Oreochromis niloticus: one gene and its partners. The main gene of each other region encodes a partner of the protein of the gene in region 2 in a complex. Links are inferred from orthologs where the notes say so. Each region holds a gene or a part of one and is shown on either strand. Other genes may lie near its edges. The genes, in order: ppp4r4, ppp4r1l, ppp4r3b and smek1.

The links.
Region 1: ppp4r1l (region 2) and ppp4r4 share a complex: the UniProt entries of both Homo sapiens proteins name them as parts of the PP4 complex. The link is inferred for Oreochromis niloticus from reciprocal best matches to the Homo sapiens genes PPP4R1 and PPP4R4.
Region 3: ppp4r1l (region 2) and ppp4r3b share a complex: the UniProt entries of both Homo sapiens proteins name them as parts of the PP4 complex. The link is inferred for Oreochromis niloticus from reciprocal best matches to the Homo sapiens genes PPP4R1 and PPP4R3B.
Region 4: ppp4r1l (region 2) and smek1 share a complex: the UniProt entries of both Homo sapiens proteins name them as parts of the PP4 complex. The link is inferred for Oreochromis niloticus from reciprocal best matches to the Homo sapiens genes PPP4R1 and PPP4R3A.

Annotation. Positions count from the first base shown.
Region 1 is NC_031980.2:26,953,489-26,960,622, reverse strand, and holds the start of ppp4r4 (serine/threonine-protein phosphatase 4 regulatory subunit 4), read right to left. Parts: upstream 3,014-7,134; 5' UTR 2,099-3,013; coding exon 1,991-2,098; intron 1-1,990. Other genes in the region: ankyrin repeat and SOCS box protein 2, read left to right, coding at 4,334-4,614, 5,011-5,180. UniProt on the Homo sapiens protein: Putative regulatory subunit of serine/threonine-protein phosphatase 4.
Region 2 is NC_031970.2:8,136,102-8,143,839, forward strand, and holds the start of ppp4r1l (serine/threonine-protein phosphatase 4 regulatory subunit 1), read right to left. Parts: upstream 3,018-7,738; 5' UTR 2,888-3,017; coding exon 2,881-2,887; intron 38-2,880; coding exon 1-37. Other genes in the region: rab22a (ras-related protein Rab-22A), read left to right, coding at 3,459-3,494, 5,118-5,197, 6,026-6,107. UniProt on the Homo sapiens protein: Regulatory subunit of serine/threonine-protein phosphatase 4. May play a role in regulation of cell division in renal glomeruli. The PPP4C-PPP4R1 PP4 complex may play a role in dephosphorylation and regulation of HDAC3.
Region 3 is NC_031978.2:10,560,841-10,568,859, reverse strand, and holds the start of ppp4r3b (serine/threonine-protein phosphatase 4 regulatory subunit 3B), read right to left. Parts: upstream 3,018-8,019; 5' UTR 2,728-3,017; coding exon 2,586-2,727; intron 2,054-2,585; coding exon 1,998-2,053; intron 1-1,997. Other genes in the region: pnpt1 (polyribonucleotide nucleotidyltransferase 1, mitochondrial), read right to left, coding at 5,486-5,641, 5,721-5,768, 5,858-5,936, 6,077-6,132, 6,561-6,667, 6,818-6,901, 7,002-7,085, 7,172-7,235 and 2 more. UniProt on the Homo sapiens protein: Regulatory subunit of serine/threonine-protein phosphatase 4 (PP4). May regulate the activity of PPP4C at centrosomal microtubule organizing centers.
Region 4 is NC_031980.2:12,515,466-12,523,215, reverse strand, and holds the start of smek1 (serine/threonine-protein phosphatase 4 regulatory subunit 3), read right to left. Parts: upstream 3,016-7,750; 5' UTR 2,024-3,015; coding exon 1,882-2,023; intron 1,702-1,881; coding exon 1,646-1,701; intron 1,555-1,645; coding exon 1,456-1,554; intron 1,308-1,455; coding exon 690-1,307; intron 1-689. Other genes in the region: erh (enhancer of rudimentary homolog), read right to left, coding at 4,467-4,575, 4,673-4,793, 6,125-6,212, 6,654-6,656. UniProt on the Homo sapiens protein: Regulatory subunit of serine/threonine-protein phosphatase 4. May regulate the activity of PPP4C at centrosomal microtubule organizing centers.

The DNA of each region.
Region 1 (7,134 bases), on a different chromosome or scaffold from region 2:
GTAGTGTGCAGACAACAACTTAATCCGTAACACCCCTAGACCAAAGAACTGATCACTGATTTCAGGAGGAGGAAGTCCAACCTGCAGCACATCTACGTCAATAGAGTGGATGGAGAGGGTGTCCAGCTTCAAGCTCTTGAATGTGTATATCAGAATCAGAATCAGAATGCTTTATTAATTCTGATTCTGATATGGACACAGACCTCCAATGGAGCTCAAACACCTTGGAAATTGTGAAGAAGGCCTTTGAGGGTGTGGTGATGTATTGCATCTCTGTGTAGTTCTTGAGCCGCAGCATGGCACACAAGAAGGCATATTTATAATTGAGCTATTTGTATATATTAGAGCTATTTCTTATATTATGTAAACTTTGGATTATATAGTATTATTTACTATCTGTTACTGTTATTGTCTTGGATCAACTGTAACCCACACAATTTCCTTATTAAAGTATTCTGATTAAAAAGGGTTGCTAACATGGCCTAGAAAATCACTGAAGGACCGCTGTAACATCCGCTGTCTCAAAAAGGCACGCAACATCTTGCAGGACTGCACAAACCCAGGACACCAGGTGTTTAAGCGTCTGCCCTCTGGCAGTTATCTTGTGTATACGGTATTTATTTATTATTTTTTTGCTTGTCTCCATCATCACTGATCCCACCTGACCTGAAGTAAACATGACTCCTAAAGCCTCTAATACAACAAAGGACATTACTAATGATTACTAATGATCACTGATTATACAGAACCTTACACACACTTTGATCTGCTCATATAGATCAGGGGTGGGGAACTCCAGCCCTCAAGAGCCGGTGACCTGCAGGTTTTAGATCTCACCCTGGGTCAGCACACCTGAATCAAATGATTAGTTCATTACAAGGCCTCTGGAGAACTTCAAGACATGTTGAGGAGGTTATTAGCCATTTAAATCGGCTGTGTTGGATCAAGGACACATCTAAAACCTGCAGGACGCCAGCCCTTGAGGCCTGGAGTTTCCCCACCCCTGATATAGATCATAATCTTGAGCTCATACAGCGTTATGCATTCATGGAGCAACAACTCAACCGGAAGTAGTTTTATTCCAGCTGTGTAATGTTCAGATCTCAGCTGTGAGTTTAACAGCTATAAAAACTATAAATATATCAACGGGTTATGGATGAAACCACATAATTTCCTTAGGGATTATTAAAATATTCTAATCCTGAAATGGAAAATGCAGCTATGATGAATGTTCTCATGATCTGCTTCACTTTGTTTAATATGTTGACTGTTTTCATGAACGATCAGATGCTATGAATTAAGATTTGGCTTTTTCTCCTCCCTTTCATAAAGGATGCTCCAGTGTCTCCTCTGCTAAAGGAAGCAATAAAGGAAGCACTGAAGCTCCTTTCCTTAGTGTTTGGAGAAATGGAACAGCTCTTGTTATGGGCGCAACACAGATAATTCCAGGTTACGTCTGTCAATGAGGAACTGTCCTGAGCGTTTGCACGTGCAGGAAGGTCATGAGAGGACACGGAGAAGCTCACCTGAGGTCTGACTGACCACTGTCACCCATAACAACACATACACATGCACACAGTGTAGGTGTGTTTGTCGTCATCGCATCAGCTTTCTCCCGTAAGAACACCCAAGCTCCGCCTCCCCCCCCATTGTCATCATGGTGAAACCCCGCCCACACAGCTACAGGTGTAAGAACCAGGCAGCGCGTTTCTTTTCAGTTACTGATCAGTCATGATTAGCGACTGTCTTAAATTAGATCAGAGACAGCTTCACTCTGTTTCTCATGATTACTGATTAATCGACCAGTTATTGGCCGTTTTTCTCGGTGCACCTCAGACCTATCTGTCTCTCTGCAGACAGACAGGCGGACTAACTGCGTCATGCTGCGGGTCTCCCTTCTGCTTCTTCCACTGAGACTGCTGATCTTCCTCCCACTAACTCACCCTCCTCCTCATCACTTTACGTCTCTCTCTCTCACACACACACCCACCTTCAGGCTCCTACGGATCGGCCTCTCGATGAAGGCGAGTTCCTGCAGCTCCTCCAGCGGGCCGCACAGCACGCCAGCTGGGCTCAGGGCCATCCTGCCGGGTAACATCTGGCTGCTAGAGGGGGAGCAGTCGTATCAGCTCCGACCATCCCTGTTGAGGGGGCGGGGGTTGCGGATCTGTCACTAACCGTTTCCAAGGAGATCCCTGCTCGAGCTGAACGTCACTCCAGACTCCGTTCAAAAGTCTGACAAAGTCTCACGAATGCGCTCATTTGCACACGATGAGGGCTATCAGAGATCCCAAACAAAACCCGTCCACACACTCACGGCACGATCTGCGGTTCGGCGCTCACAGAACTGCGATTCCTCCAGAAAAATCCCCCCTAACATCCCAAACCGTCACACCGTTACCGGGATGTGTCACACGTTTCCAAGCAGATCAAGTGCAGCGCAGAGAAGCCGCAGCCAGACTGCATGTAAAAAGCTCCAGTTAACTCTTTTATTCCCCGAGGACTCTTCATTCACACCACCCTCAGTCCAAAACTCCGCACACGAAATTTATTCGGAGTAAATCTAAAGACTGAATGTAGGAAACCGCACAAACCGGGCGCGGGATGAATCAGATGGACCCCCTCTCTGGTTCGGCGCACATCTCCAAATATTCTGACGAAGTCCAGATCTTCTCCACCTGCTTCAGCTCAGGGTTGCGGTGGGAGCGTCACGCAGAACTGCGGCTGCGCTCCTCCGTGCTCCTTTGAGTCCGTCATCCTCGACAGTGCACAACCGAACCGAATCGCCCACTCTGTTGGTCTGTCATACGCAGACTGGTACCGGGCAGCGTCAAAGCTCAGAGACGGTATGAGGCTGATTTTCACACCAAAGGACGAAGAGGAGGAGGCTTCATCACCGTGAGTGACACGTGGGCAGCAGAGCGGGCTGAGCCAACCTAAACGGAGTCATGAGGCTGCAAGCCCGACCTGAACCGGGACCGGGAGATGAGCTGCAGGGTGTTAAGCTGGAGACGCAGTGCAGCAGCTGATCCGTCTCCATGGAAACGGCTGTCCGTGCTCATTCATAAAGTCCAGAACGTGTCTTCGATCCAGAACCCGCTCTCATTCTGAGCTGTCCCATCACCTGTAAACGCACCTGAAAGTTCAATAACCATCAAATAAAACTATCCACGTCACGTGCTTCAGATCCGCACTCATTTGTTTTATTTTGCAGGGTCAGGTGTTTCACTTTCTGCATTCAGGTTTTTCGTCTTTTTTCTGAAATGTTTTTTTTTTTTCACGTGAACATGAAGCTCACAGCTTATGTGATGAATGCCTCACCTGTCAAGCTCTGAGATTGTTTCCTGCTCTGTGTTCAATCACCATTTTAGGCCAGGTAATCACAGGTTAGCCCTGTTGGCCCTTTGTTAGATGCTAAGAGGTTTCTGAATGACCTGTAGTTGGGACAGAGCAGGCAGGTGAGCCACTTAAGTTACACTTACTGTCATACCGAGACAAAAACACATAATGCAAACAGATGGGGACAGGTGAGACCAGACAGACAGGAGGAGAAGGAGGAGGAGGAGAAGGAGGACAGGGGCTGACCTTCAGCTGCAGTCTCAGTGTCAGAGTTGGCTGACGATCCGGCTCATGAAAGCTCAGAGTTGATCAGACCTTCGGACTCTGAACCAGGACCTTCTGCTGCAGACCAGAGAGTGCTGCTTCCTGATTGGATTGTTTCACAGGTAGTACCCAATCAACAGTTTGTTTTATTTTATTTTTATATGTTTGAATATGGGGAACTTCAAACCACACTTGAATCCACTTTAATGTTGTTTTGTTTTTATCATCAAATTTAGATTTAAATCAAACAGTCAGTTCTGTGTTTACCAATTTTTAAATGATTCTGATTTAGAATTAATTTAGGTTAAATTTGTGTGTTTGAAATCATTGAATTTAAATCTGTGAGATGGGTTAGTAGTTGAGTCTTTCAAATTTTATCAGGCTGCTGTTGACCGACCGGGTTTAAAGGATTGATAACACAAATCAGTTAGTAGTTTTCTGGGCTGTTGTGAGCCTGGTTATGTGCATCGATCCTGTTTCCATCTGTGTTGTTGGTGGAGGCTGTTTTTCGGGTGCAGGACAGTAGATATTGCTGACACCAGCTCTCACAGTGTTTGAATTTTTGGCTTCAGCTTGGAGGAAACAAACACCGCTGACCCACAGTCTTGACATCATTCAGCAGCAGCTGAGGCCAAAACGCCATCACCTTGGATGACCCACTGCTGTCCACACGCTGCTGGCGTTAACGAGAAACACAGACAGCAAACCGTTTCCTGTTCCTCTGTCTGACATGGCAGTCTCTGAGCAGAACCTGGATGACTACAGCATCTACAGTCACCTGGCAGATGAGGAGCTGCTGCAGATCGCTGTCGAGAGAAGCTTGTCTGATAAACAGGCTTCATCATCATCATCATCAGGCCCAATCCAAACAAACCCTAACCCCACACACAGAGGTCCTGACCCCTCCAAAAGGGTGCAAACGGTTTCTGCACCTGAACCTGTCCCCCACATCCAAAACTGTATAAACCCTCCCACAGCCCTGTCACAGTTTCTCTACAAGGTCTACAAGAGGTGAGTCAGTTCGGAATGAAATGGAGCTCAGAGGATGGAAACATCCGCAAACATCAGAAAGCAGCAAGAGATCAATAGACATTTCAGAGTGAGTGTCAGACAGTCTGGAGATGGTTGCAGGGTGTGTGTGTGTGTGTGTGTGTGTGTGTGTGTGTGTGTGTGTGTGTGTGTGAGGAGGTGGGAGGGCTTGTTTCTGACTTGTGGTTCTAACTCTGTGTTAGTTCTTGCTCTGTGCTTGTGACTCTGTCGTTCTACTCTTGTTCTGTGTTTGTTCTGACTATCTGTTGGTTCTGTTATCGTGGTTTTGACTCTGTGTTGATTCCAGCGCAGCGGCTCTGTGTTGGATCTGACTCTGGTTCCAAGTCTGTCGTTCTGAAGGTTTGTGTGTTCCCTCAGAGAGGTCAGTCCGTTACAGTCCATCATCATGAGTGGGGATGCAGAGGCTCTGATGGAATTGGTCCGGAGGCGGTTAAGCAGCCTTATGGAGCCAAATGATGAAGGCTGGATCGCTCTTCATGAAGCTGCTTATTATGGACAGCTGCAGTGCATTAGGATCCTGGTCAGAGGTCAGGACACCTACTGCTTTCTGCTTCTCATTAAGCCTCTAACAACGCTACTTACCTTACTTCAGGAGTTAAAGGTGATCTTAATCACCAATAAAGCTTTACTTTGTGTTTTATGTGAAGGTTGATTTGTCATCTGTATTTCACATTAAAAAAACTTCTGCTTGAACAAAAGCTTGAGCTACGGTTGGGCAAACCCTCCAGTTTTATGTCTGTAACATGACATCTGACTTCAGATGTTTCCTCTTCAGATTTTCAGCTTCATTCACCTGCTTATGTTTTTATATCCACACTGTTCATTCATGATGGAAAAATGTGCTGATATGCAACAAAATGTTAGGCTCCTTTATTAATTTACTCTAAGGGTGACATGATCATAAGCTTCTGGGAAATCCAGATTTTTGTGTCCTGTACATGGACCCATTTTAATTGTACATGTAGTTAAAATGGTTAACTTGTTATATATAGTAAGATAGTAAAAATAAAAGAGTGAGTATATTAACATTAAAATAGCAAATATACAAGTTAAATACACATAAATACAGTTCTGCCAAAAAGGGCTCTTGCTGGTAGGTAGCAGCAGCCCTTGAGTGTGGGTGTTATTGTATATTGTGCCATGTCATGCTGGTGTTTTGCACTATGATGTAATGTTAAATTTGGCAACATTGTGTGAACATTGTACTGAATATTAACTGGACTATTGCAGGTTGAGGGTTGGTAAGTGAGGCTCACTAGGTCCATTCACTAGGCTTAGTGTTCAATGTTCTGATGGCCCAGGAAAAAAAGCTATTTTTCAGCCTGGCTGTAATGCCTTTTAAACACTGCTACCTCCTACCAGAGGGCATGAGGTGCTGTCCAAGGTGGGACAAGTCAGCGTCGATCTTCTCCTTTTCTCTCCTGAAACGCCAAGTGCTGGCTATGTCCTCTTGAGAGGGTAAGGGATAGCTAATGATCTTTTGTGCTGTCTTAATGACTCTCTGCAGGTTCTTCTTGTCCGCTACTGAGCAATTAACATACGAAACTGTGATTCAGTAGGTGAGGACACTCTCTATGGTGCTGTGGTAAAAAGCTACCATTAGTTTCTTATCCAGATGGTTTCTCCTCAGCATCCTAAGGAAGTGGAGTCTTTGTTGTAGTTTGTCAGCCAGGATTCCTGGAATGATCGTATTGGCAGAGTTCTTTTTAAAAAAATAACTCAGCCCTTATGTAAATACTAGGCCTCATAGGTGTTTATCCAATCAGTTTTCAGGAATCCCTACCAGCTTAACATTCTTACTTAAATATGGTCACTTTTTACTTAAAGAAAAAAACAAAACAAAACCCGCAAACCAATGAGTGAGGTCAGAGAGGCTATGCCTGTTATATAGTCAATGGTTTTTCACCACATTTGCTCAGTGATCAGTTGATGTGAGATCTGACCTCTAAACCACAAGACAGACTCTTATGTTGTGGTTAATCACTTCAGGAGAGGTCATGTGGAGGTCAGTGATGCTTCAGCTTCAAGTGTCATAATAGGACAGGATGCTTACATTAAACCATTTGACTAAACTTGCTGAGAAATTAAAGACATCTGTAGACCTTGTTTGTCAGGGCTCTGCGTGCGGGCAGGCGGAGAGGAGGATCCAAGCGCAGGACTCAGACACTAACTTGAAACTCAAAAACCTCAGCTTTATTGCTGGTACGAAAACAAAACATGAAGTGAACACACAGGCACGATCTGATGGTACGACACGACACCGAGCACGGGAAAACACAGGGCTTATATACACAGGGTAGTAATGAGGGAATGGACAACAGGAGGGCGACACAGCTGGGAGAGATCAGGGCTAACGAGACGGGGGGAACCAAGCTGCACACACTAACATAAGACAAAGACTTTCACAATAAAACAGGAAACATGAATTACTAAACAAGAACGCAGACTTGACACTGAGAGACAGAAAACACATGGAACTCA
Region 2 (7,738 bases):
AGATCATCATGGCCATCTTCAAAGTATAAAGATAGACCTGCAATAACAAGGCAGTTAGTGAGGTAGGGATCCATGGCGGAAGAACCAACTCTTATTGACACCGTGGTCTGAATGGCACATTTACAGTAAGTCAATTACTAAGGGGGGCAAAGTCTCCGAGCAATAAATCACAGTGGTCTCCCTAATGTCATCACTCGGTGAAAGCGAAACTTAATGCATTCAAGTGATATTGTCACTGCTGTGGCCTGGAGGAGAAGCAAATCCAATCAATACTTATCACAGTGATTAGCGAAGGGAGCTGAGATCTGACTCCAGTTAAAAACCGGTACCAAACTGTGCAATTCATCAAAATAGCATTCATCAGTGTTGGCAAAAACAATGACCACAAATTGGCAATTGGGGCTTTCACACATTTTAATCTTGTGCAAGCCTTTTTTTTAATAAAACCCCTTTTTTTTGGCCATCAACATGGTCAAGCAGATAAAGAGGTAATAATAATAAAAGCTGGTTTAACAGTGAAAACTTGTCTAGGCCTACTTTTTTCTCCAAACAAATTAAATTGAACAGGAAGCAGAATCAATTAAAGAAACAATAAACTGATATCCACCCCCAATTTTCTTGATCAAGAATAATTTAGAATTTCATTTTTTTTGCTTCATTGCACAGTTTTCTTTAGTTAATAAGATGCAATGGTCAACTGCACATCAATAAAAGCAGAGAAGAAAAATGCAGGTTATTATCATGATGTGAGATCATTCAATTGTCAGTTTGGTGCTATTAAACTGCTCTCTATTAAATGCTAATGCATTTGTTTTTCTGACAATCCTCGCTGATGAAAATGCATTCAACAAAACAAACATCTATTACAATGCATATAGCATAACATGAGGGCCTTCATTCTCCAGACAGTTTGTGTTAAACTGAACATTAAATTCTTGATTATGACAAAACATATAAGGTTGTATTGGACTGCATTCTTTTTAGCTTGATGTACCTAATACAATAAATCCACCCCTCATTGTGCATTCAATTGCAGCCAACCACAGCACTGAACACACTTTTTGTTTGTGTTTCATGTTGCAAAAAGCCATAACATGGTCATGATTAATGACTGCAGAGTTAGTTGATGGAAAATTCAATTTCCAGGTTAAACTTTACACTATCACGCCATTCAAGGTGAAATTTATTTATTTTTATTTTTTCCACTGGCTCCATATCAGAAGTTTCAAGCAACTCATTGAATAATGCCAAACATCTTGAATAAGGCCAGATCGGCATGTCGCCCGTCTCATATGCATCATACTGGTCTGCACTTGTATTGTCTGATATGTGCTGATATAAAAACACGGCTCAATAATTCAGAATTGCTGTCATAACAGTTTCTCCAGCACAGCAGCTATGCTGTTGGCTCAGCTCAGCACTTTCCGCATCAAATGTAGCAGAGTCAAATGACGTAGTCATGATAAATTGCCAAGTAGTTTGCAAAATGCAATGTAAAAACTATATTTATGAGATATATATATATATATATATATATATATATATATATATATATATATATATATATATATATATATATATACCCATTATGGGTCGCCACAGCACACCATCTGTCTTCATCTCACACTATCTCTAACCAGCCTTCTTTCACATCAATCATACATGTCCTCCTTCACTACATTCATGTAGCTTGTCTGTGGTCTTCTTCCCCCCCTGCCTCGCAGATCCATCTTTAACTTCCTTTATCTAGCATATTCACCATCCCCTCCTCTACATGTCCAAACCATCAGTCTTGCCTCAATGCCTCTCCAACCTGCAAGACCTAAGCTGATCAATTGAATTCAGTTTAATTTATATATTCGTTCCTTAACATATGTAAATATCTTCGGATCTACCATATATATGAACTATGAACAGGTAATTATCAGATTTATTTATTTTTTGATAAAAGTCGAATTCTATATTGGTTGGGATTTATTCGTTTAATCGTAGGAAGTACTAAGTCAATAAAAATAATCTAGATGGCTTAAAATTATATTTACAGCCCTATGCTAAATCCATTTAAAGTTCTTTTCCCCCTTTTTACAAATTAGCACATTTTCAAAAACAAATGTGTGAGTAATCACGTTATCTAGCACAAGAAGACCTTCTCTCACTGTTTATTTTCAATACCACCCAGCCCTCGATATAGGACAATAGCAGATGGGGGGGTTGTAGTCAACGGAAGAGACCAGAAATAAGTCCCAAGAGGAGAAGCCAGTGTTTACAGCTGGGCAAGCAAGGGAATGTGCTCTAAATATAATACAGTGCCTACCTCGAAATCACACATTAAACGAGGCGTTTCATGAGTAGAATAATCAACGGCATAACATATATAACAACACCCCGAAAAACCACGCTGGCACAGAACAACATCGCGCCTTTGTTGTGATGTAAAGCAGGATTTGGTCAGCTTATGGCTGAACATGACTTTAGCAACTCGGCTAACGTTGGCTAGGTCAACTCGCTCGCGTTTGCTATGATAACAGATCGATAATAAACACGGTCATAGTATTCTCCCACCGAGGTCTGAAGAGACTAAAAAATAATCTACATGTACTGAGCAAATATATGATTCAGTGTAGTCCCAAAGTCACCCATTTCGATAGCCCATAAGGAGCTTTGGTTAGCTTAGCTTGCTAGATGCTGCTAAGTTTGCTAACATGGCTTGTCCAGCCCTTTCGCTTGACTTCTCTCCTACTTCGCCGGGCAGTACTACACAGGAAGTGGAGTAGAAGCCGCTATTTAACTACTACAAACCTCAACTGCCCCAAAACGCTTTAGGAGTGCCAGCACAGCGCCAAAATATTTAAGAAAACACGGGTTAAAAAGTGCCATTACCTGCCATCTTGAGCGTCGGCTCGGCTCTGCGGGCTGCCGTCCCGTGTGGGCTGTCACCGCCGCACAGCTGTCACTCAAACACTGAGGCTAACTACTTCCTGAAAGTACTTCCTGATGCTGCTTTTCACTGGTTAATTACGTATTAAACAACTATACCGAAAATCGTTACTCATCACGGGCAAAAAATCGACATAAGTGAGATTAAAATAGCGCCTGTGGGGAGGGCTTTGTGTATCTCCAAAAGAAAAAAAAGAAGAAAGGAAGAAAAAAAAAGCCGAAGCAGTCACGTGACCACATGCCGTAGTTCAAGATGGAGACTCAGCGATGTGGTGGAGGTAGCTGTTTACAATAATCACAACATGGCAAATACGACGACCTGCGGGACGTTTTAACGTTTACAGCGAGAGTTGTTACCCGACCTAAGATGTGCGTATGCCAGCTTCAGACCACGATGTTGTAAAGTTGCTTGTAAACAAAGACCACCTGAAGAATATTCAAGATTTAAAAAAAAAAGGCAAGCAGAGGAGAAAACAGTCAATGATCTTCATCTCAAATTCGATGTGAGAGAGGAGATCGATATGGCTCTGAGAGAGTTAAAAGTCTGCCTCTTGGGGGTGAGTAAGCATTGATATTTTTCAATCTGATTGTACATATGCACACTTTAACTGGAGCATTAATGGAGCTGTCCTACTCTACTTCCACATAACACATACCTATACTTCTCTAATGGACCGTGGTGAAAATTTCTGATATAGTGAGTGGCAATACAACCTCAAAATAAATAAATAGATCTGCGCCAGTGACAGCACTCATGCTTATCTACATTGAATTGCACTCAGCAGCTGCACAAGGCATCAATCACTTGATCAACGTCCCATTCAAATTGTATTATCCACTGCTGGAGGAACATCCTCACATCTTCTCTTCTCTGTCATCCACTTACAGGATTACATCAGCGTTGACAATATTAATCAAGCTATTAGTGTCACTATTAGTCACTATTACTCAAATTAGAAAATAGTCAGCCTGCTGCTATTTTAAGAATAGATCAGGTAAATCTCAATCATTAGTGTCAATGTAAATTTAATATCTTTAAGTTCTGATCTCTTTTGGACAAAAACAAGACATTTGGCGTCGTCACATTGGCCTCTAGGAAACTATGTGTACATTCATACACTAAAGTTGTGATAACCTGCAAAATCTCACTATTAGCCCCTACAGTGGCTCTATTTTGATAGCAGGAAGACTTTGCTGGTTTGTATTTAGCGACATCCTTTGCATGGTGTGGTCACCTCTACCCTGCCATGAAACATTTCTACACTGACGGTAGTTTCTAACAGGAAACAGTGCTGTCGTCCATAGGCCATGAGGGCTCTCTGAATGGAATGACCAGCATGAAAACAATGTCTGCTATGACACTGACAGTCATCTTTCATATCACATTTTGTGCTGACTTGTCAGACAGGCCTTCCAACACCATCACTGAACAGCTTACATAAAAGTGGCGTGTGCACCTTTAGTAGAGTTTCCGTGACTCAAATTCGTGGTGCGGTGAAGCTGCTCTGCTGCTTTATTTGGCAGCTTACCAAAACATTTTATGATGATGCTTTTTGTCCCTTCATTTCAACACACATCTGTAACTATGTTAGACAGCATTACTTGTCATTCCTGCAGCATTTCTTTACAAATCAGGCTCATTTACTTAATGCATATTTAAATTGGAAAAAAAAGACACACAACAAAACAGGATGATTAGCCATTCATTTTCTGTAGATCTACTAATAAGATTAAGATAGCATAGAGACAATAAGTCAGTTCATTAACTAGCAGACTGGAAAAGAATTGTGACAACCCTGATTATGCATCATTTTGGTCATCTTTAAGATAATTAAATTAGTTAAAACAAGATATGTTACTGAATAAATGGTTAACTGATGGACCACACAAACAAAACATCCATGTCTAGACTGCTATAGCAGCAGCATAAACCACCATTGTCTGTGGGAGCATCTCGTGATAACGCTTAGGTCAGACTTGTCCTCTTCTTTTTCTCCTAATGTAAACAATGTAAACCCTTTTTCCTCTTCCATAAGTAATTTACAGATTTATACCAGCAGTGCCAGGAAGGAAAAGGATCCCATAAAAATGTTTTAATGTCCAGGCATATTGCCAAAGATTGTTCTCATATTCTTCAAGTACCATGTTTAGTAAGCATGATCTTTATTTTGTCTCTGCAGGATACTGGAGTTGGAAAGTCGAGTATTGTTTGGAGATTTGTGGAGGACAGCTTTGACCCAAACATTAATCCAACTATTGGGTATGTTCTGCTGCCTTCCACTTCCACAGAAGTTTTATTTTTTCCATCTCTCTCATTTGTTGTAGTTTTACAGGTCGTTATAATGCCCATTAGAGTTATCAATTAACCACTGGCAAAAAAATGGGCATGAAAATCACTTCTTAAATAACTTGTTTGCTCCAGATTTCAAAATATCTGGACTTTCTTGTGTTCTTTGTCTGTGGCTAAACTAAGTAACTTTGGTGTTTCAGCCTTTTTCGTCCAACAAATTTTTAACGAATTATGAACAATATTTGCTTTCTGACATTTTCAAACAAGGAACTAAGAAAACAGCTTTACAACTGAACTGTGCAGTTTTGACATTTAGCCTTTCATAGGATGAATAAATGAGTTTTTGTATATAATAACATTGTACAAAATAAAGTCAATTTTTTCTTGCTTGAACTCAAGTAACATAAACATCTTTAAAACTCAAGTTTGATATGTGGTGGCAGGAATTTTTAGTATTTTTTTAAACGTTTTTGTCAGCATGCTTTTTAAGAAGAGAAGAAATAATAAATACTAGATACAAACAGCTGCTCCACACACTTATTTTTGGCACTTTGAAATATCTGATGATTATTGGCAGAGGGGTTGTTATTAAATTTTGTTTTTGAAATCTCCAGTTTTGCAATTGAGACCAAATGTTAGTTTTGCTGTCAGACTTAAAGAATCCAATTCTGAGCTGGCTCAGATTGATGTGATGTAAATCAGCTTTTTATTGCTAGAATACAGTTTAATGTTAAACAGAAAAAAAAATCTGCAATTGTTTATTTTAAATCTGCAGTGTGTCATGTTTCTCTTCACCAGTGCATCCTTCATGACCAAAACAGTGCAATACCAAAATGAGCTGCACAAATTCCTGATCTGGGACACGGCAGGACAGGAGCGGGTTAGTATTATCTGCTGAGGTATTAACCGTAACAGTTTCAGTGAATAGTTTTTACTATACCATCAACCTGTTTGTAGTATTGAACAGTCTACTTATCCCCACCGTGTTCTTTGAAAGGATGTGAAAGAATTGCCTACACGTACATGCATCATTCCTTAACCCAACCATAAGAAAACTGAATACTGCAGTTAGTCATAACTTCTGATAGGGGGCAATATTTACCTTACTATAGGCAGAGTTCTGCCAGTTCACTTATAATCAACTTCTTTTAGCACTCTTGTTCTAAGAGTTCCTTTTCCAAATTTTAATTTAGTGAGTGAAGTCACATAAAAAAGATACATTTTTTCCTTTTGTCGCCTTTGATCTCTCTCCCTTCCTCCTTTCTCCTTCTCGTCATTGTGTTAGTTTTTTGGAGACAAACAAAAAAGGGAACCAGTGGCATTGTTTTATGTTATTTTATGCTTTCACACTTCTCCAAAGTGTTGTTTGTCAGCAGTTTATATGCCGATGCAGCTCTTCTTATCTGATCTGCTCTGCTGTTTGTTTGTAAATATACATTATGAAATATTTTGCCACCCATGCAATGGTCAGAACTCGAATCACACTTTGCGAATGATATGTGATATAGGAGACAAGGTGTATTTTGGTGTTTTCATTTAAGCCAGTGAAATCGACACCAGTTGTCAGGCACTTGTAGCATAAGGAACTGCTTTCGCTTGACTCACGCTATAGCCAACCTTTCTCTGCATTAGATATCCACGCCACTTCCCTTTTTATGCTCACAGCCTTCTCCTTTTCTCATGCGTAAGTCTTTTCTATTGTATTGTGGTACCCCTGGTGCTGCATTCTCTGGAGAGGTGAGATAAGATGCTGCTTGTGTTTTATTCCCCCTTCCCCCGGGAGGCTTCTGTTTTTTTTTGTGGACTTCAGGGACATTCAGGAAGCCAATTTAAGATCAGACAAGAGGATAAAACTCAAGCTTTCTGAGCTCACTGGCATGCGCTGCTGCTGTATCTTATCTTTGAGCCAGTGCCACTCTACGTCATCATGTCCTCTTTTTTTTTTCTCCTTTGCTTTCATCTGTGCAACATTTTATTTAATTTTCTTCTGGGTTGTTTTTTTTCCTCGCATTTTTGTTCACTTTTTCATGCCCATGTGGCCTCTCGGTCTTCCAAGTGCCTCACATCTGCGACTGAAAAAGTAGCAACATTCCTTTGGTAGGTTTCGCATGTGTCTGCGTGTTTTTTTTCCCTACAAGACTGTTGTGGTATTTGGAGGCTTTTCATGGCTTGTTTTCTAACCTCCATGGAGCTTTGGCCTATTGAAATCTGTGGAGTTGAGAAAGAGGAACACAAAGCCAGCCAATGCATGTGAAAGGAGAGACTAGGGCAGAAAGGAAAGCTCAGTGATTTCCACAAGCAAAACCCATATCTCAAGACCAGATGAGGCCTTACGAGCACATCTGAGCCCAGCTGTCAACAGCCCATCCAGGCCTCCCCCTGGAGGACTGCTCCTTCTTACAGAAAACAAGCAAAAGGGAGCATACGTCCTACCGGAATAGGAGGGTGCCTTTCATTACACACCCAGCTTGTGGTTTCTGCAATTAATCAGTACTCACTGGGCATCACTGG
Region 3 (8,019 bases), on a different chromosome or scaffold from region 2:
AACAAAGACAAAGGATTATTAAACTTTACACACTGACATGCTTAACTCTTTCACAGGAGGCACTTACAGACACACACACACTTATTCATTAAATTGTATGTTAACTGAACACATGCCTACAAATGTACACACACACACACAGGCAGCAAACGAAAATAAAAACGTCAACATTTAACTCCTGCAGACAGAGGATCTTGTGGCTCCGTTATGCCTTCTTGTATGTATTGCTGGCAGGATTTGGGTGCAAATCCTTGAAGTGTATCTGAGGGATAAAGCTTTCTATCCTGGTGGGAATGCACTCCTCTAGCATGACAGTGACTTATCCACAGAGTATGAAAATGGTTTGAACAAAAGTCTACAACAGACAAAGCAAGTTAAACACATGCAGAATATCTTTTTTGTACCTAGCTTCACCAAGGTGGTTATCAACTCTAAGTCAAACGAGCGTTTTCCGATCTAGCTATGACCACATTCACATGAAAGAGGCAGCAATGGCAGCATGACCAACCAGAAACATGAACCGGTCTATTAGCAGCTGAGGGGCATAGTTTATGAATACTATCATGCTATAAAATTAGCATTATATAACATGAAGTAGGTAAACAGATAATACAGACTCGCTGCAACACAACTGCTGCAGCCAAAACAACAGTGTCAGTCTGTGTGAGAAGAAAAGCACTGTGTAGTATTGTAGTATTGTTATATATGTCTTAAAGTAATAATGATTAAAGTATCAAAGTAAATAGTAAAGTGTGTACAAATTCTGATAATTTAAGGCAACAAACTTACTGTCAAAGATCTGGGAAGACCTCATTACTATATTACAATAAAAAGAAGCTAATCACATTTAGATTTGCTGCTTCTTTCACTCAATTTGAAATAGTCTAAGGGCAAGTAGAGACAAAATTTAACAAAATAAAATTTTTCAAACAGGTAAGCAGCCAACTTGCAAATGTTTCATGACGTCAGAAACGAAAAGGTTTAAATTCTCTGTTTTAGTATCATTTCAACGTATTACAGCCTACACAACAATAAAGTTGTTTTAATATTGTTTGCAGTCAACAGGAAAGAAGCAAGGAATAAAGTTGCCCCCAAGAATCTCTATTTCTTACCGATGCTGATCTGAGACAAACTTCAGATTCTCTTACTATCTGCACACTAAGCTCTAATTGATCTTCCATGCATTATTTCATAGAAATAATTGTTCCATGGGATCCAATTGATCTCTTGTCTCAAACATGACCCTTTCCTGAGGAGATTAGGTGTGGAGTGTAAATTACCAGAGTAATCTATTTCATAAGAAGTAAACCACCTCCAAAACACCGGAAATCCAGGAATAAACCTGAAGTTAGCCAGACTCGACCTTAATCATTAATAATGCTATAAATTTTTAGGTCATATAAAAGTGTCATATCACAATAACACTGATACATAAAAAAAAAACACAACAACAAAACACGCCTCAACATGTCTGAGAACAAGAGCTGCTGTCAGCCTCCAGTACCTAAAAAAAAGGAAGTTATTCAACCTTCAACAAAGAGCAGTAATTTTAAAGACATGCAAAAATATTTAGAAAAAGGTGGAAAATATTTTTCTTTATTTATGAGACAATATTGTGCAGCTCCTGAAGAGTTACAAGGTTAAGGTTAAGTTGAATTAGTTAAAGGTTTCATTAACTACAGCAGCTCACTGTTAAAGGAGGGTGGAAATTGTCTTTCAGACACTTACCTATAAATGCGGGAAGACTTCTTATTTATGCCATAATTCTAATGACACCTTAATTTACAAACAGGTGTGGCGCATGTGTGGTAATTACTCATGGCATTACCCGATTATTACTCGATACCAAGTTTACAATTGCATCAGTCAGCCAATTTCTACTGTCTCGCCTAGATTACAGTAACTATCCAGCAGCAGATCTCAAACCAGTGTTGGGATTATTGAAATGTGTGTGCTATCTGTAACTGAGCCAGACTCAGGTAATAATAAAAACTTACCTGTTGTTTCTGATATGCAGTATTAGGACTTATCTTCGATTCCAATAGCAGTGATCCTAAAGCACAGAGATATAGGTGACTAAATATTCAAGCCAGTTAGAAAACCGGTTCTTTAAAGACGAGGTTTGTTATTCTGTCTAGAAATAAACAGTTATGGCTATGCAAATACACACACAAAAAACAATCGAATTAAACTAAAATGCTCAAACACAAAGGTAAAATAACTACAACAGGCCTTGGGTTCTACTGTAATAACCTTATGTACTTTCTTTGTCACATACATGAACCACAAAGAGCAATAACAAGTTTATACGTTCAGACTTTCAGGGGCACCATGCTACCGAGATCCCGTCGGACCAAACTAATGAGCATGCTAGCAACAGCTATTCAATAAATATTTGCAATTTATTGAGAGACGTGCCTAATATTAACAGTTCTGGCACTATGACGGTGAAGTCTGCCCCACATGTAGAAAAAAAGTCTAATAAGGTAATCTGGTACCCACTGTGGGCAATCGAAGCGCTCTCTCCGAACAACCAGGAGTTAGCATGCTAACCACCGTAACAGCTATGCTAACAGGGAACTTACCGTCCGATTCAGCCCGAACTAATAACGATATCCCCCTCAGTCGTTCGACAAATGTAGACGAAACGTGCCCGGTACCCCGATCATCCCATTGCCGATCTTCATTCAGCGTATATACCTTCACTCGCCGCCGAGTGTCCGACATGGTTTAAACGAGTCGGAGCTAGCAGGCTAGCTTTCTGCTAACAAGCTATCACCTCACCCGTCTAGTGTTTTCCTCGACCTGTTAACTTTGTTTCCAACCGCATGTTATAAAACATGCATGTTTAAATTTAGTTCCCAACAGCAGCAAAATATATTAGTAGGTATTTCATAAACATATTACGACGTGAATCTACTTATTAAGGGGCCTAATATTAAACTGTAAAATTCTGAGAGAACACAACAACTCTAACGGCCTTCTTGCTAACGTCCACAGACCGCCATCTTGTAATCCGATCTTGTGTTCTTTTTCTTTTTCTACGTCAATCAAGCGCTAACTGCCGCGGGGTCTCCTCCCCCGGGCGGCATCGTCCAATGGCAGAACTGCGGCTCCCCCAGCTCACCGCGTCACCTACGGTGGAGATAGGTAATAGCACCCACAGTCGTTTGCAGATGTTGGCATGATGTACAGATGTGATTTGGTTCAGCTTGTTTAATTCATAGAGGAAGCAGATACTTACTTAACGCAGAAGATTAACAGAGTTTTTCACGTTAATTAATCACAATCATAACTGCCAATTTTTTTTTTTTACACAAACGAGGAATTTTTCTTGGAAAAAGCAACACTTCAAGCCATGATCTACAGAGAAAGAGAGAAAGGAATAAAATCTTAATGTTTTTTTTGGCATAAATTCCTAGACTTCTAGGAAAATATTCTTCAGACTAATGAGACAAAAGATTAACTTTTTGGTAAGTAAAACTATCATTTAATTAAAAGACTATCAAAGCAACAGTCAAACATGGTGACGGTAGTGTGATGGTCCGGGGCTGGTTTGCTGCTTTATGACTTGGAAAATGCAGCTGATGAAACCGTGAAGTCTGTCCTCTACCAGAAAATCATGAAGGAGAATGTCCAGCCATCTGAAATTTTAGCAGACTTGGGTTATGTGGCAAGACAATGATCCAAAACACCAAAACTTCACTCAATGTCACAAAAAAAACAAAAACAAAACAAAGGTTTGGAATTGGTCTATTCAAAGTTGGGACCTAAATTAGATGCATGACCTTAAACAGGCCGTTCATGTTCAAATAACTCCCAACATGACTGAATTAAAACTATTCTGCAGAGAAAGGTGAGCCACAGAGGATCATCTGCCTCCATCACAGTCCATCCTCCTGTCACACCAACCTTCCTCTGCATCCATGAATCTTCTCGGAGGTCATCCTCTTGTCCTCCTGTCTGGCAAGCTCCATCTTCAACATCCTTTGTCCAACATATCCACAAATTACCTCGACAGTCACTCCACCCTGCGTATACTGTCTTGTTCACTGTCCGTTGTTTTGGATGGTAGCCCCGAGGTATTTAAACTCATGCACATGTATTCTGTCTTGCTTCTACTGATTTTCATTCCTCCTCTCTCCAGCTCTGTAGGCCCTTCCTGATGCAACCCTACATATTAGGACTAAGACTTTTAGATTAAGGCTGAACAGAGAAACACTTAATTCTTCTGTAAGACTCCAAAGAGTTATTAGATCTTTCCCTGTCCAATATTATGCAATAAATTGTTTTAAATAAATGTTGAAATTTTACAGCTCTCCTGTTATCATCTCCACCATCCAGTTTCTTTTAAGGACCCACTGGATGAACCTTTCCTATTGTGAAGCAAATGTCTTTTTTAAAACATGCTGAAGCAGTACCTGTGTGCCTGCATGTGGCCACTGAAACATGCAATTAAATCAGCTTTTTATTAAGAAAATTTGACAAGCATGCACTCAGTACATTCTGGCATGGTTGGAAGGTGTTTTGTTGACTTAAAGACATGAATAAAGCAATCATTAATGACTTTATTTACATATTACGTCTCCATACTGCTACTCCTTTTAGATGCTGCCATAGTGGATCATCTGCCTTCAGCTCACCCTATCGCTTACATCCTTCTCTGCCACACGAGCTCTCTGCAGGTCCTCCTTCTCTACATTAATGAAGCTTCTCTTTTCCTCCTTTCTGGCAGCTCCATAATCCCGACACAGAAAGTCCCAACTCTCATTTCCAAACCTTTCCTTCTCTCCTGCTGCCTCCCTCTTTCCTCTTTCTTTGTCCTTGCACAGCAGTTTCCACCAGCACCCTGCTGGTCAACAGCACCATTGGTAGTCGTTCATTCTTGACGATCCACATATTTGATTTGAAGATTTTACATCGGATCCCCTTCCTGACCTATTTATCCATGGTTGGTAACAGCACTAGGAGTACACTGGCATGTGGCCCACCCGTGGCTGGTTATTTATTTACATTTTAGTTACTCACATATAATATAAATGCGACACCATATAAAGATTAAGAAAACACCTCTCTTTAACACGTCACCCACTTGCCTTTCTTTTCTTTAGTGGACACACTGCTACAGCACATACCAAATATGCCTCAAGAGGCAACATTATCACACACGTGAATGACAGAAGCACTGTTGTTGTGTAATGAAAGAAAAATCTTAAAACTTTGATACAGTCAAACAACAGAGCATGAAAATGGGTAGACACTTGTATTTTTGAAAATGTTTGCCTCCTCGTCTTATCCCTTTGTTTGTGCAAATTCTCCGAGGCATGATGTCAGCAGCATTTTTGCCACATCCATACTCTCAGCAGCGGAGTAACCTTCTTTATGTATAGTTCATAACAAGATCTGTTGTTTGAAAAGGGAAATTTGACTCAGTCCAAGTCTACTCTGACAGAAAAGCCAGAAGTTAGGCAGTCATGGGGGAGTGTCACGAATCTGTACTGGTCGTCTGCATGTCGCTTGAACCCATGGAGATGCTCTGTTTGTCATTCAGTCTCTTTACGACGCTTGCAGCAGTAGACTGGAGCACCTTCCGTGAAAGCCTCATTCTGCCATCTGTTGGGTCCCGTCCAAAATACTTGACCTGTTAGCAGAACACAGTTTAGATACAAGCATCCCAGACTGAAATTAGCAATGCCTTGTCTGCAGTAACCGAGACGCACCTGTATCTCCTGTCCCACCTCTAAACCCAAAGCACTTGGATGTTTGATCTAAAAGGAAAATAAAGGAAGTGACTTAAGTAAAAATTCTACCATCAGACTCAAAAGGAAAACCATTTTACGCAGACAAATTCACAAACCCGTTTGTGGTCCAGCTGCGAGTTGTGCAGCAGGACAGGAGTCATGTTGGGATAAAGTTTCACCATCACGCCAATGTCCCTAAAGCAGAGGAGCAGAAGAACAGATGAGCTGTATGAAGGCTGCAAGATTTTATTTATACATAAATCAGTTTCCAAGTGTGGGGAAATAACTGTAAACAAACACTGTTTGTTGGTAAATAACGCATTGTTTTAGTTTACCTTATTTCTGTGATGGTGGCAGTGTAGATAGCACCAAACTCCAGCTGCTGTTCTTGCTGCAAAACAAAGAAATACACCAATTTTCACCTACATACATTATGAATATGTGTAATATGTGTAAGCAGTTGTTCTTAATGTTTTGATTTGTTTATCCAGGTAATGTTTGCATTGTGGTATAAAACAGCAATTGAGTTTATAAATGTGCATAAAAGGGTGCAAAGAAACTATCAGAATATAGAAATATAGAAATATAAAACCTCTTTCCTTGTTTTATTAGAGCATGCTGAGAGCTTTCCTGTTTTTTTAAGTGTATTGATCAGGATTATTTCTCTTATTTCTTTGTTTAAATGCCATCTTGCTTAAGCTTTATACTATATTTCTCTTTTTTTAATTTGTTTCGGGTTCTCTGTAGAGCACATTTTAACACAATTTTTGAAAGGCTCTGAATAAAGACAGAAGGTAATTACAAGAGGGGGAGACTCACATCGTCTTTGCAGATCTCGCTGATGAAGTGTTGGGCTTCGTTCATGGCTCCTGGTGTTGGAGCGAACACGGAAAAAGTCTCCTCGTCTACCTGACTTATTGTCACACCTGAAACCAAAGAAGAAAATGTGGTGACGTTTTTATATTCTGGACAACAGTTTCTATTATGAAAAAACGAATCTGTGTGCTGCTGGATTAGCATCACGTCACCATCACATTCCAAGTTGCCTTTTTCAGACTTTATTACTTATGCATTACCTGTTTGAGCTTGAAGCCTGCGGAGGTTGTAGCCTCCAGGGCCAACAAAGCGAGCTCGCCTTGAGACAGGTACTCGAACATTTTCTGAAGACAGAAAACATCACATATTGGAACAGATGACATTAAAAACTTTCTATTAAATATTGCATATTTCTGTATACATACATATTCATGCATAACCTACCAACAACAGGTCCATTCTCTTTCCTGCTCTCTCTGGGTTTTGCTATGCATTTGTTCATAATGCCCAAGATTTCCCTCTTTGCCACTGAAACACAACAACAGGCAAATGCCACAAAAGAGCCATGCAAATAAAATTTTAATACAGGGTATATTTCTCAGTTTTGGGCCTACCTGTGGCCTGTTGGATTGCCTCCATGACCACCTTCAGTGGCAACCCAGGAATCTTCACATCAGCCTGGAGGTAAAATAAAGAAAAATTAGTAGCTATCATTGGTTTACTGTTAATACATTTCATCTTTATCAGAAAGACATTAATGTTTCGCTTGTGTCCACCACACAGTCCGTTAAGCAGAGCAACACTTTCACTAAGAAGAATCCTGCTTAACTTGGCGTTACAGAGACAAATTAATGTTGTCTTATAATAAAAAGATAATAAAATAAAGCTCTAACACTATATTGGTCTCTTCTTTAATATTTTACACATCAAGTACAGTTTATAGTAAAACATTTCTATGAAAAAGTGATGTCCCTTCAGTTAGCTTTATTAATTTTCCTTCTAAAAAGATCTTTTTTAGACACTTATTACAAGCTACTCAATGCAGTACCTGTAAAGCAGTGATACCCTTGTTTGTTCCCGCCAGTTTGAAGTCCATATCTCCCAGGTAATCCTCTATTCCCTGTTTACAAAACAGTTATAAGCTCATATTCAACATCTGTCATACTCAGGAACATCTGTTATAACCTTTTGAGCATTCAACTAAAATCTCTCTTCCACTGTTTAGTGATAATAACTGATCACAAACAAGCAACGACGGTACTGGACATACCAGAATATCTGTTAATAGTCTGTAGTCTTCTATCTCAGCAGGTTTTTCTGGGTTAGCCCTGGAGATGAGACCAATGGCTACACCTGCCACAGCAGAAGAGATGGGCACACCTGGCAACACAGATTTAGATATATCAGTTAAACATCATTATATAACATATTTTCTGACTAGCATCGTATCCAGACAAATTTC
Region 4 (7,750 bases), on a different chromosome or scaffold from region 2:
CGACATAATTACACAGAAAACAAAAGTGAATTCCATCATGTTTGTCAATGAGAAATTTGGAGCATAAACAATGTGACCTATCTGGTCATAAGAATACTTTTGATTTGTTTATGCTGAAAACACTGTCTCATTCAATGACATCTACTACCACTTTAAATATTTTTTAAAACCTTGGTTAGTGAACCGCTTGATTTAAGCTTGCCTGCCCTATGCTAATTAAGGAAGGAAAGACTCATATCTGTAGTGTTTGACTTCAGAGCGTGATATAGCAAAGAACACCAGAGTCAACAATGTGCCCGTTTCAGTTTTCCTCTAGCGCAGCATAACAGATTTACACAACACTACTGTGCCTCCATGGAGACAGCCATACATAAACAATGCTGAGTTGACACAGGATAAAAACACAAAGGTCACATGATCATAAAAGGCTGCCAGACAATCTCAGACAGGGTAAAAGTACAATCAGTCAAAAATAAAACCAATGTACAATCCTATAATTACTGTAATTCGAGCCTCACTAACATTTCATAAAAGAAATTCTCCTTTGTGAGGATTACAGTACATTCACAAGTTTACCTATTTATAACACTTGCTTCAATTAAACCATTTTAATTAAAATGTAGTGTTTACACAAAGTAAAAACAACAACTCCATACTATTAGATCATACTACATGTCTGCTTATCTCACCTGTAGCATGCCCACAATCTCCACCTTGTTGAAAAAGATGAAGGAGTGCAAGGTGGACAGCATGTTTTCCTCAAAAACAGAGGGCGTGGGCAGCACCATATCCTGAATATACTGCACCCGATATGTCTGGTGAATTTTCTGACGCAGTTCAGGATCAGAGATGGGGATCACCTCCTTAAACCGGGCTGTTTTAGTGAGAAACTCACGATGCCGCCTTGGCTGCGGGAGTGTTGGGTCAAACTCCAGGCAACCAATGACGTCCATTATGCACTCATCAGAGAACATCACCTCAAAGAGTGCAGTACGATTCAGCAGGAAGATGCCTTTCATTATTTCATACAGGTGGTGCAGTCCCTCTCTGTTCTCCAAATCCTCACAAACACGGAACAATTCCAGGAGCTTGCGAATATAGCCTTCATTCTCCACAGCCAGTGCTAGTTTTTCACGTCGCAGTGGTGATGGGAGAGAAGAGCCCACCAGCTCGGCCAGGTCCTCCAAACGGTTCAGTTCGCATGGCGGTAATTCCAAACCTGGGGATGACATGTCATCAAAACGCTCCTCCTCCGATTCGTCCACCACATCCTGTGTGATGTCAACTGAAGGGTCCTTTCCCTGCACCTTAACAATAAAACATAAGTGTGGACAAACATATTAGAACCTCAGGATGTAACTACATAAGGGATCACCGGTAACACAAATAGCATCAAATCCACAAACTAATGGAGATAAAAAAAAACTCAAACCCACACAAATGAAGTACACTAACCTGGCATATTTTCTCCCAGATTTCATCACAGCCAGCCTTCTCCTGGAAACTGAGTGCTAGATCATAATTTTCAGCCTCTGACCACACTATCAATGTGTCCTTTTCAAAAGAAAAACAAAGCCAATTTAAAATAAACAGCAGAATGGGGAAAAAAATTCAGTTTTGTATGTTCATCATGTTATGTACTGACCTGTTGTTTCTGGTAGGCTGTGTTTGGGTTAATTTTGGACTCCAGCAGAAGGGAACCTGTCAGGTTTAACACAAAGGTAGCCCAAAATTGTAGGTTACTGCATTTGCTTCAAACGAGTAATACATGTGCAAATTTCAGGTGATACAGGTGGTTAAAATTAGTGCGCGGAAGGTATTGTTTTTGTAGTAATAACTGAGCTACTACAATAATCGCGTGGCATTCCTATGTTCGCTTACCATCGCTCTCTGCTCGCACCAGGAGAGACGTGCCTTTCAAGCGCTCCACATAGCCCGACGAGACGTGCCCGGTCCCACGGTCATCCCACTGTCTGTCCTCATTGAGGGTATAGACTTTGACTCGCCGACGAGTGTCCGTCATCCTGGCAGTTTCTTGTAACCCGTTCTCCCCTTCCGGGCCTTTTACGGGGTGTCTTCTTCACCTAGTAACGCCACAACTTCAATTCACTTTTTACAGCTGCTCACTTCTACAAGAGTATTAACTAAATATGAAGCGGCGGGGGGTCACTTAGGATAAGTTCTAAAAAGCAACTTAAAAGTGGAACGCCTCAACAACTTTCCAGCAGGATTCCGCAATCGTTGTTAAAATTACTACTGCAATATCTCGCATTTCTTGACGAGCTGCCTCAAAACTTAGACTGCCAGCACTATAGGCAAGGCGCCACGCAGAATCCGCGTACAAACCATTGTAGGAAGCTAACGACAAATTAAAGAGCGGAGGACGTCGTTAGCTTACGCGTTAAACGACAAAACAACGAATGTCACTACAATATACAGCTGAGAACAGAGTACTGAAAAAGAAGCAAATGTTACGATGACTGGCCCACGAAACACTCCTGCTTATATGTACAGTTTGTACGCTTACAGGTAACGTTAGCTATCAACCCTTACGAGTTAACTCGCTAGCTAGTACGCTAAGTACCTACGCTCCATATATTCAATGTTAAACTACCATTTGAAGCAGATTAACTAGAGTTAGCTGTCGATAACATTACTTTATACTTGCGGACAACAGACACCCGTTTTAAGCCTGGAACAATGTTTCTATTCTTCTTTAAATAATACGCCAGCTAGCTAACGTTAGCTGCTATTTCTTCCCCAAGTGTTCCGCCATGTTCTGGCTCGGGGCCGCGGAGAGACCACTCTCTCCTTACTCTTACTCATGCATCCCAAAAACTGTGCAAACCAACAAACTGGAGTCGTATAATTACTTGAAGGTTACGCTTTACATTATACTGCTATTTGCCATTCATTGCCGATGTCTTGCTCAGATAATTGCTAAGTGCCCCCCGTGAGTATTCAGCCATCTTGGGTCCCTTCACAGTCAGTACGGGGTTTCCAGCACGGCAACAACAGGGCAGCCCGCCACATTTAAAGAGACAGTAACAGAGAAAATAAACTGAACTTGAGGCCACGTCCAGCATGAATGGTCTAACTTTTGCAATACTTAGCAGTCAGCCACACTATCATTGTGTATAAAAATTCAGTGTTCATCGCACTAATGGTCGCATATTTATGAGTGGACACCAGTCAGAAACAATCGTTTATTTTGTTTCAATAAAAGAAAACAGAAATGGAGAGTTGAAATCAGATGTTATGCAAAACAACAGGATTACAAAAACGTTTTATATCACAATGGTAGGCTTTTAAAACATAATGAAAACTCAAAACTTTCCATTAATTATAGTAACAAATCTCCTGGGTTGTCATGTGATCATCAGTCTTCAGCCACTGATCTACTTCAAAAATAAAACGGCTGCTTTCAAAGTCCACAACGTCTTGAAATTCAACCTCCCAGGAAAATGTACATAGGGAAAAAAATAAAATTCACATAACTTTTAAGGAAACTGAAAAACACACACAAAGAAAGTTTTTCTACCCCGCGGAGTATTTCTCCATGCTTAGCCCACAAAGTCCCATTCTTCTCATCATAGTGTAACAACTTATAAACATGCAGGTTCCCAACCATGACCCAATTTTTCAGTATAAAGCCCAAAATGTACAATTTCACCCCATTTTTTCCAAGCCTCTTTTGCCAATGAGCATGATGTGAAAACATTCCCTTTGTTAAATGGGCAATGCAGTCTTTACAAAGAAAAAAAAGAAAGAAGCCCTTTTCATACATGTAGTCCTTTTAAGCCATTTGATGGCACATGTCAGATTCATAATTAAATAACTAACCTTATTAGTTTTTTTAAATGTATTACTTTCAAAAGGTAATGAATACGAATGAATTCATGTATGGCAAATGTCCTGCGAGATCAATGACACTTTTGCCAGTATAGCCGTTGTCACACACAAACTTAAAATGTTGGAACAGGCATATCAGGACATTGTGTAAACTTTTCTTTCTCACACGTAACACAAAAGCAAGCCTTCCATGTGGTTTAGGCGAGGGAGCTGCATGATAGCAATATCCTATAGAAAAGACACAATATGACTACTAAGTTTCTATGCACATCACATGAATTTTGTTCCAGGCTGAAATCCATTTAATGTCCAATCCAACTGCATCACACCTTTGTGTTCTTACATGCACCTCTCTCAGGTAATGTCAAGAAAGACTTCAGGCTGCAGTGCACGTGTGAAAAGAGCTTACGTGTCTGAATGAAAAAAGTGCCGTCGCTTAAGCACAGTGGTGGAACCATGTCTGAAAAGGGCTTTGCATTACAAATTACAAACACACACACACGCTGCCAAGGATGACAATTCCAAAAAGAAAATCCCCAATTTTTTTTCACATCCCCCAATTTTTTCCAATCTCTCTTCCTCATGTTTGGTACAATATGAAAGAATCCCCCCTGTCAAACTGACTTAGCCGCTTGCTGAGCCTGACGCCGCAAGAGGACGTATATCTTCTCCTTTATCCAGTCTTTGTTGTATGGTTGATATGTTTGAGTGTCAGCTCTATATCTGCATAAAAAGTAAAATATTTTATTGAAATGTGACCAATGCATCCAAAGGGAATGTTGTGTTGCATTCAAATTCATAGACAGCTAATTATACTTACACAAGACAGCTCAGATCTGCCAAGTCATCAATAAAGTCAAACAACTGACTAATGTCATAAGTAATGGAGGGACTGTTTGGATTCATCCTCTTGAGATGCTCTTCATACATTTTGCAAACACCTGGGGGAGAGGCAGATGACATGCTGAATGGAAGCAAAACAGCAAAAACAACAACAAAAAAATGCAATCCACAGGAAAAGGCTAAAACAGCAAAAAACAAAAGTAATTCATAGCGAATTACGGTGTACAGTATTCAGTGAAAGAGAAAGACAGGATAAATAAAGAGGGCCTAATAAAGGGAATAAAGTGATATACTTATACCCTGAAAACAAACAAACCTTTTGCGTCACTTTGAACATGAAAATAAAGCCAAAAAAGCTTTTTAAAAAAAGAAAGGAAAAAAAAAGAAGTGCACAAACAGCAATAGCTGCATACCGTTAATGTCACATCCTTTACAGAGAAAATAAAGTTAAAATGATGAGAGGGCACATCACCTATACTTATTTTGTGTAATAGCCTGGGATATTTATATATCAGAGCGATCTGTATTTATTAGAGCCATTTTGAAACATCCTGTATTTAACTGGTACATTAATTTGTTATTTACTGTTCTTACTGTCTTAAAGCAACTGTGACCACATCATTTCCTCTGGGATTAATAAGGTAGTTTTAATCTGAAAAGTGTATACTGCAGTTCAAGACAGACAACACAATTGTAAACACCTCTTACTTATCATATCCCTTTAATGCCTTTATTATCTGTAAACCCCATTACTACGTAATGGATAACTTGAGTAAATTCATGTATTTTTATCACAGTCAGTTCTGAATATGATACCAATGATTATTCTTTGTGTAAGTGAACCTTGATTAATCTCTGTTCAATAGAGCTTAACTGCAGTTCAAAATCCATTAATGTAGAGCCGCAAACACACGACATTCAAAAACAGATTTAAAACCCTTTGTATTCTTTATTACATTTTGTTGTTGTTGTTTTTAAACTTTTATAGTAAGCACAAGTTTACAAGTTTTTTGTGCTATACAAGTAGGATGTTGACATAAAAAAAATGAATTTCAGGTTTCCTGAGTCCATAGTTTAAAGAGTCACATAATTTAAAAAAAACAAAAAAAACATGTCCGTTCTCACGTTCTCTTTTTTACTTTCCAGAAACTAAAAAGTGATTACTATCAGTCTGTTTTTTTCACAAATTAGGCTTAACCACATAATCCCATACACAAACAATACTTGGTACTAGGATGAATTTATTATTTACTGGCCTATCATTTGTATGTATTTACTATGAGAAAAATATCCCTTAAAATGAATGAGGAATCACAATAGATGATGAATACAATACAATTACATCTGCTGCTACTACTTGTTACAACGAAAGTAAATATTAAAAAAAACTGCGAGATGAATTATGAATGAAAACATTAAACAGACTCACCCTCCATGCATTCATTAACTGACTCATAGTCAGCGTATGTGCGGCCCTCTGGTCTCTTGGTTGGTTGGACAAGCAAAATTGTGTGCGACTGTAAAATGATTGATAATGTTTAATACACACCGCCACGCAGTTTCTCTGTGTCAAACCAAATCACCTTAATCGGGCAGCTAATTAGAGGTTTTTTTTGCGAGTTTTTGAAACTTGTGTAACCTTCTGCCCAGACATTTTCCAACTCCAGTGTAAGGATGGTCATTCAGCTGCAGACCACCGACTTCATCAGTCTTTTACAAAACATCCAGCCTAACGTTACTTCAGCCACATCTCACTTTAATAAAAATATGTAATTTGATTAGATGATGAAATTAAGTTATAAGAAACACAGAAGCGGTGGGCAAAAATGCGTGTTTAACAAGAATTGCAAAGCGTTAGCCTCGACGCTTGTTAGCTTAGCTGTGTGTGATTAGCACAAGCTAGTGTGGCCTAAACTGAGAATTATTAGCTCTTTAGATGTAAAATAAAGCACACTTACCATCTCTGTTTTCAACGCAAAGCCTCGCTATTTACTGGCTATGCAAAACTGAAAAAAATCGTATTCAGCGTAACTTCTCAGTACCCCGTGCGATTTAGCTGTTTGGTCTAAAAAAAAAACTTAGGGGAAGTGAAAAAGAACTCTTCCGGTTGTAAAATTGAGTCCCTCCAAAGTATAGTTTTGGCTTCAAAATAAAAGTCCGATAATGCTACGGTAATGATTAAAAGGTGGTTTTTTTCAGTAGACTTTGTTTGTGAAGGTACACATTATTTATTCTAAATTCTCTCTTTTAAATTATCATAGACATTGTAAAAAAAAATAGATCCAGGTTGAAAAGTGTAGTCAGCAGAGAAGCGATCTAAAGGTGCCTTACTTTTTAATGGCCAGCAGGGGCCGAGTGCTTTGTCAGCCCCTGCAAGTCTCCTGCATAAAAGACTTCTGGTTGTACAGAAGTTTGTGGGAAATAAATTAATAAATTACCTTCCTAATGAGTTTGTGAGCTCACTTGCTAATTATTTCATGTGTAAAAAAATGTAAATCTAAATTGTAGCAATTATAGTGTAGCTGTTTACCCATTCACATAACATAGAAAGATCTCTCATTCATCACTGAGAGGACACACAAATCTCTTCAGGTTTGCATCAGGAAAGACATCCAGCATACATTTGGAGCTAGCTGTTGTGGTGACCCCTTGTGAACTTGGGAGCACCTCAGAGTAGCTTTTACTATTATCCTGCTTGTGTATTGACATGTCAGTAATGATGTCCGACAAGAAATGAAGATGCAAATAAAGCATTTTTTTTTTTTCAAAATTACACCATAGCTGAACATTTATTAATTGGATATATGATTCAATTTGAGTAATTACAAAGAAATTAGTTTTGTTTTAATCCCGACTTACAGGGCAAAAAAGCATACAATGACATAGTGAAGATCACAAAAACAAACTGAAAGACAGTGAAATCAGGGCCAAGAGCTATAACATTTGTGATGGTAAAAATGTTTAAATGAAATATATAATGTGGTTAGTTTTTCTTTTCTTTTTTTTCTTTATTTGGGGTGTACACTATAGGCTGCATTTGTGTACCAAAATCACT